2 linked regions of the Macaca mulatta genome follow. The protein of the gene in region 2 purifies or fractionates together with the protein of the main gene of each other region. This does not show direct contact. Links are inferred from orthologs where the notes say so. Each region holds a gene or a part of one and is shown on either strand. Other genes may lie near its edges.

Region 1 (3,826 bases), on a different chromosome or scaffold from region 2:
GGGGGCAGAGGTTGCAGTGAGCCAAGTTTGTGCCACTGCGCTCTGGTCTGGGCAACAAAGCAAGACTCCATCTCAAACAAACAAACAAACAAACAAACAAAAATAACAAAAAAAGCCACCCTTGCTCAGAAGGAACAAACTGTATATAATCAAGTAGCTGTAATAAATTTTTAACGATAATAATATATGAAAAACATTATATAGATTTATATGTATTTTTTGTGACTGGTAGGCTACTTTAGTTTTCTTTTTTTTTGTGGTGCCATCATGCTCACGGCAACCTCCGACTCCCAGATTCACGCGATTCTTGTGCCTCAGCCTCCCGAGTAGCTGGGATTATAGGTGGGTGCCACCACGCCCAGCTAATTTTTGTATTTTTAGTAGAGATGGGTTTTCCCCATGTTGGGCAGGCTGGTTTCTAACTCCTGATCGCAAGTGATCCGCCCGCCTTGGCCTCCCAAAGTGCTGGGATTACAGGTGTAAGCCACTGCGCCCGTTCGTATTTTAGTTTTCCAAATTAAATGCAATTGTGATAGAGTTAATATAAAATTGAAATTTGAAGTATAATTTATTGCTTTGAAGTATAAAAAATAAACCTATTATTACCGTACAAAGGGATGAAAGTATAAGAATCTATTCTGGTATACAATTTTCTTAAATGCAATGGAAAATGCAGAACTGTATTTTTATGGGCATTTCACACAAGTTGCCAATCAAATTAAATCTACTTCCAAAATAACTATACCTTTATCAAAAACTCTAAAATCAAAAAGCTCTAAGAAATTTTGCTGTAAGTTTGTAGCAAGCTCATTTGGCATCCAAACCTGATCTGAACTGATTTTTAAATTTCTTTTATTTAGTATATACTTACACATTTTGCTACAGAAATATTAATGTTTTTATTATGGTACACTTCCCCACATTCTGCTAGAAATATTTAATATACAGTATATTACATTATTACTGTTCGAAAATCCAAAAGATTTCTAAATTTCAAACATATATATCCCCAAGAGTTTCAGATGAGATCGAACTTGTATTAAGTTTCATAAAACCTTAAGCCCACAAACTTACCAAATTCTCTTCTTTCCAATGTTATGATTTCAGGATCATCATCATAAATACCTAATTTTAAAAGTATATAAAAATTATAAAATCAAAACTTCACTATATAAATTGCCACATAAAAATAGATTACTCATTTTAATCATCAAAAAAAATCAAACTACTATATTAAATCTCAAACTTAGAGAATATGCAACAACTTAAGTGGAAAAAAAGTAAATAATACTATCAATATATTTAGGGTGATCTAAAGATACTAGAATTTTGATACAGACTCTCATAGGTGTGTGTGTGGTAGTTCCTAATATTCACATAATTTCATCTCCATAGAAAATTTATATTATGGTTTTAAAAATAATTAGATTCAGGGAGGTGCAAAAATATAGACTCTTGTGTACTTTTTACTCACCTTCCTTTAATGGTGACATGTTAATTAGCTACAGTATAATATCAAAAACCAGGAAATTGAGAGTGGTATACTGTTAACTAGACTACAGACCTCATTCAAGTTTCAGATTATATGGTTTTTAACACATGGTATCATGTTAGAATATCTTCTGCTAAAAAGTTTGGAATATTTGCAGAGGCAGACACAAATATTTAGTAAATATAACTTTTTTAGGCTTTGTGGGATGTATGGCTTCTGTCACAACTTCTCAACTCTGCTCTCAAAGTGTGAAAGAAGTCATATATATTATGTAAACAAATGAATGTAATTGCATTCCAATAAAACTTTATTTATAAAAGCAAATGGCAAGCCAGATTTGGCCTATGAAACGCAGTCTGCTAACTCTTGATATAGACTATCAAGGTGTAGAGAATATACTTGAAAATACTATTTTGAAAAGAAAATTTATATTTACTAAAAGCAAATCCTCCAGATATAAATTTAAAATGCTGTGTGTTTACATTCTTTCTTCCTTGGTTCCTTTACTTTGTTTCCTCCTTCCACCTTATTTTTTCCTTCATGTTTAAGAAAAAGAACACCTTTCGTCCTTCTCATATGCAACCTTTATTGATAATGTTTCAAGGTATTGACCTTAATGTCAACCGAAGGCCAAAGCACCTTAAAACATCAATAAGGGTTCCATATGAGAAGGATGGCATTTCTATTGAAGAGATCATTATTAAACTTAAAGTTTAGCCTTTCTTGGAAAATATGATGCTCTAAAATATATTGAAAGAAATATTATTTAATACTAAAAAATACTGAAAGAAATATTTAACTACCCCTAATGCAAATATATAGTCATACATCACTTACTAACAGGGACATATTCTGAGAAATATGTGGTTAGGGAATTTTGTTGTTGCAAAAACATCACACAGTGTACTTACACAAACCTAGATAGCATATCTTACTACACACCTAGGCTACAAACCTGTACAGCATGTTACTGCTGAATACTGTAGGCAACTGTAACACAATGGTAAGTATCTTTGTATTTAAACATAGAAAAGCTACAGTAAAAATATGGTATTATAATTTCATGGGACCAATTTCCTACATACAGTCCATTGCTAAGTGAAATGTCATTATGCAGTCCATGAATGCATATTTTTTATTAAATAACAATCCTTATTTTAAAAGTATTTAACAAGATTTGACCAATACAACTTCGTATCTGTACAGATCATCTCTGTATACCCACTGACTTTCCTTTTAAATTTCACTCCCACAGCAAATTAAAAGGAGCTAATCAAAGTGACACAGATTAAATATATAACTTAAGTGGTGAAACAGAATTCACTTTTCTTTTACTCAGATAAAAAACATTTCATAAGTAATATTGTATCACCTTACCAAAATCATAACGATAATAGTTCCAGCTTTCATACTGGCCACCTTGATTATCCTCAAGTCCCTTTTCTCCATATTTGTCATACTTTTTCCGTAGATCTTCATCTTTGAGTACTTCATATGCTCTATTTATTTTTAAAAAATCACCATGTGCATTTGGGTTATTCTGTTAAAAAATATTAGATATAATACAATTATTTCAGATACACAATCCAAGTTTCCTTCAAAAAATATATGTAAGTTTAATTAATCTAGTGACTTCTGGGAGACCACATACCAACATGAGGAGGGGTAATACAACATGACATGAGTTACCATGGGTTGAAATGAAGTATTTTTTGAGAAACTATAATCTTCAATAAAAAAAAAAAGTAAGAAAAGTAATGAAATAATAATTGACTCTTCAAAAGGCTGACAGATGTTATCAGACCATGTAAGTTATTTTTCCTAAAAAATGCAGCTGAGTGAAACTAATAAGCCTGTTGAAACTCTTAATTTCATATTTATTACTCCTATAACAATTATAAATCAATACATTTATAGGTTATTTTTCTATTTAAGGCAAAATCAACTTATTAAAAAAGGATGTGCCCCAATCCATCAAATAATTACATAAAAGCCAATATCAGAAAACACCCCAAAACTGATTCCAGTACTTTGGGAGGCCGAGGAGGGTGGATCATTTGAGGTCAGGAGATCGAGACCAGCCTGGCCAACATGGTGAGATCCCCGTTTCTACTAAAAACACAAAAACTAGCTGGGCAGTAGTGACGCACGACTGTAATCCCAGCTACCTGGGAGGGTGAAGCAGGGGAATCGCTTAAACCTGGGAGGCAGAAGTTGCAGTAAGCCGAGATGGCCTCACTGTACTCCAGTCTGGCCAAGAGAGTGAGAACCTGTCTCAAAAAAAAAAAAAAAAAAGAAAGAAAACAATCCAAAATTGGATTGGAAATGTTTCTT
Region 2 (3,826 bases):
ATCCACCCACCTCGGCCTCACAAAGTCCTAAGACTACAGGCATGACCCACTGTGCCTGGCCTATGGCTGCTTTTGCACAACACCAGAGCTGAGTAGTTGCAACATAGACTGTATGGCCCACAAAACCTAAAATAGTTATTATTTGGCCCTTTACAAAAAAAAAAAAGGTTTGTTGATTACTGTTTAAAGCACCAGAGAAGTGAGAAGCAGGCAAGTGGGGAGCACCTTAACAGAAGAAAGGAAAGTGTCTGAAAATGGCAAGATACCATGGGGAGGAAGCTGGCTCCTAGAAGCTCCCCAAGCACTATGGTGCCAGAACCTGAGGCTGCCCAACACTGCACAGCCTACATAGTCTTCATCTCTCACCTGGATTATTCCAAAATGACCTTACCAGCCTCCCAATCTGGGTCTCAACTGACTCATTAAAATTGTACACTGTTGGGCCACGCACAGTGGCTCACACCTGTAATCCCAGCACTTTGGGAGGCTGAGGTGGGTGGATCACGAGGTAAGGAGATTGAGACCATCCTGGCTAACACGGTGAAACCCTGTCTCTACTAAAAATACAAAAAAAAAAAAAAAAAAAAATTAGCCGGCCGTGGTGGCAGGCACCTGTAGTCCCAGCTACTTAGGAGGCTGAGGCAGGAGAATGGTGTGAACCCGGGAAGGCGGAGGTTGCAGTGAGCTGAGATCGCGCCACTGCACTCCAGCCTGGGTGACAGAGCGAGACTCCATCTCAAAAAAAAAAAAAAAAAAAAAAAAATTGTACACTGTTGCAAGAGTGTAAGAGTCATTTTCTTAAAGTACAACTCTGATCATATTATACACTGGCCTAAAATTTTATTGCCTTAAGGGTAAAATCCAAACAAGAAGGGCACTCAAGCTGACCCTTCTAATCTCCACCTACTTCTCCAATGTCAGCTCCCACCACCCTATCTGTCTCTTACAGCCCCAGTGTAAGTGTGTATGCATGCATGTACACATATACACTCGCATGTCCCATCCTTTTAAGCCATATCATTGGAGTACCTATTGCCACGATGCTTCTGCAAATGGTGTTTCCTTTTCACTGTCTACCTAGCTAAATATCACACATTCTTCAGCACTCAGCTCAAGCATTACCTTCTCAAGAAAGCCTTCCTTGATGTTTCACTCCATTCCAGCCCTCTAACACCCGATGCCTCCTCAATCATAGCACTTAAAAACATCATTCTAATTGCTTACTTGTTTTTCATCCTATAGTCCAGGCACCTAACTCAGTGGCACACAGCAAGTACCCAACGAATAAATGCTGAATGGAGGGAAGGCTGGATGAACAGACTAAATAATGGGTGTATGGCAGTTGGTGACTACTTACAAAATCATCCTCATAGTCCATGGGAGGCTCTGCTGGAGGGGCACAGCAGTGACGGATATCCAGCCTCATCTGAAGCTCACGCACCTGTCGACGTAGCTGCTCTACCTCTTGCTTGTACCCTGCTTCGATTTGCCGTAACCTATGCTGGATCACATCCGTGGGAAAGGGGAGTCCATCATCATCCAAATAGAGAGGAGGCACTGGAGAAGGACAGGTCAGTGGAACAGGCTTTGTGCTAGAGACTTGCTTTGGGTGACTGGACAACCACATCCGGTTCTTTCCTCCTGGGCCAGTACAATGTCCATTGGAATGACTAGAACAGACAGGTGACTTCATACCTTCTCTCTGAGCCCACTGGCCCCCAAAGCAGGGCCCCGTGGCCCGCATCTGCTTACTGTTTGGCCTCTTGCTACAACAGCCATAGGAAAGCAGCCGCCGAGGGGTGGCCTCCCCACTTGGGAATGAAGTCACCATCCCTTGGAAGCTGTCCCAGTTGGACCCTAGAAAAGAGAACTCACTAATCTGGCTCTGAGAAATTGGCTTCCGGACCAATTCCAATGGCATTTTCCCAAAGCGAGGATTTTCCAATAACTGCCCATTCCTATTACTTCCTCTTTTACCAATGTCTTCCTCCCCATGAGTCAGATCTGGCACAGAACTCGGTTGCTCCTGGTGGGAGATACTTGCCACAGACCCTGAGGGATCTTGGTTGAGGAAGTCAGCCCTTGGGCCTAGAGGAGTTTGGCAGGCAGCACTTGGTGGGTTGCAAAGGGTGCTGAGGCTGTGATCGAGAACACATTTGTAGGGCACACCTAGCAAGGAGTCTGGCTGGGCCTGTTGGGGCGCACCTGTAGAAGAGTCCTGGGAAGACTCAGGAAAATTACAAACTCCATCACACTTATTAGAAATGACCTTGGAGAGTGCACTGACAGCTTCTGTTTCAGGACAATGTTCAGGTGGCTCCCCTGTGCCATCTAAAGTCCTACCCACCTCATTCTGGGCAGAAGGGTTGGGAGCTGGTCCCTTAGTCTCTTCCAGGACTTTGATCTCAGGATCAGAGGTGTTGCTCTTCATTTCCCGAGGCACTGCGGTATTAAGCAATTTGTAACTTGGAGAACAGTTTTTGTGACTCTTGAAAGGTTTATTGCTCAAGTAGTCTTTCTGGCTGCTGGGCAGAGGAGGAGGAAGACCCACTTCTCCCACAGTCTGCTGAGGACCTCCTACCCCAGAGTCCACAAAGGTTGTCTCTGATCCCTCAGGATTGCTGTGCCAGGGCTCCAGGCCTACCCTGACCTCCTGACAGTGGTTATTCAGGTTAGGGTCACTGGATGTACGAGTCAGGGGGCTGCTTGTGTCACAGGCAGAAAGAAGATCATCCATGGATCTGGTTTTAGGTAATCTGGAATGACAAATATAACACCTCCGGGTCAGGAGATGGGCACTTGCAATACAATATATGGAGCTGAATCAATGGAGCAATATCAAAGCGAGAGTTTAGAAAAAATGACACTTAAGAACACTTAAGTTTAACAATAATGACCCTTAAGATCACAAATAACCAATGTTCACTGAAAGTTTACTCTGTAAAAAAAGTGTAAGACATGGACCCTGTCCTCTGGAACCCAAAAATCTATCCTCAGCTTTTGTCAGCACTCAACCTACCAGTCTCCCTGGGCAATCTCAACCACTACAATGGTTTCAGCTGCCTTCTATGCCAATGCCTTCTGAATCTATTGTTCCAGCCAGGACTATACCCGAGACTCAAACCCAATATCTCACTGCCTCCATCACAATAAAACAGAAAGAAGACGGGTTTTGGAGCTAGAACATATTGGCTCTGACACTAATTAGCTACATGACTACAAATAAGTAAATTAACCTCCCAGATACTTGGTCTCTCCCTTTATACAATGATGATAATAAATCATACCTTGTAGAGATGCTACGAGAATTCAAAACATAGGCAACCAACCACAAACATAATAACCACAAACTTTATTAAGACAACACAACTCCCTCAGCACTGCTCTTTATAACCACTTAGCAGCGGTGTGCTCCTCTGATTCCCAAGGCCCCATGGAAACTTCCCCTGGTATATAGCACTCAGAGTTCTAGAGGCATTCATATATACCAGACGTGTTAAGGGACATTTTCAAGAATGGCCATCCTGATTATTAATGCAGTTCAAAGTCCTTAGAGCAATGAAAACTTGAGGGAAATTCACCAGGGAAACAGTAGAGACTTCACTGGCCTCCTATTTTTAGATGGCTCAGTCAGTTCAGCCCATGCGGAAAAATCCCCCAAAGGCAGAGTTACAACGCAGCTTATTTTAAGTAATTGATTTTTGAAACTTAAATGTTTTATACATATTTGATATAACTTTTATGACCAATTTTGATTTTTTTTTAATGGTATGAAATTCCAGGAAGGCAAAAACAGTCGTTATAATTAGAGTTCCTGGAGTCCCAT

Evidence for each region.
Region 1: the proteins of MTMR4 (region 2) and DNAJC10 purify together in Homo sapiens (affinity purification with mass spectrometry; 3 studies listed by BioGRID and IntAct, counting the BioPlex papers as one, with this or other methods). This does not show direct contact. The link is inferred for Macaca mulatta from reciprocal best matches to the Homo sapiens genes MTMR4 and DNAJC10.

What each region holds. Positions count from the first base shown.
Region 1 is NC_133417.1:87,664,246-87,668,071, reverse strand, and holds part of DNAJC10 (dnaJ homolog subfamily C member 10), read right to left. Parts: intron 3,033-3,826; coding exon 2,870-3,032; intron 1,126-2,869; coding exon 1,075-1,125; intron 1-1,074. UniProt on the Homo sapiens protein: Endoplasmic reticulum disulfide reductase involved both in the correct folding of proteins and degradation of misfolded proteins.
Region 2 is NC_133421.1:51,494,750-51,498,575, reverse strand, and holds part of MTMR4 (phosphatidylinositol-3,5-bisphosphate 3-phosphatase MTMR4), read right to left. Parts: intron 2,757-3,826; coding exon 1,358-2,756; intron 1-1,357. UniProt on the Homo sapiens protein: Lipid phosphatase that specifically dephosphorylates the D-3 position of phosphatidylinositol 3-phosphate and phosphatidylinositol 3,5-bisphosphate, generating phosphatidylinositol and phosphatidylinositol 5-phosphate.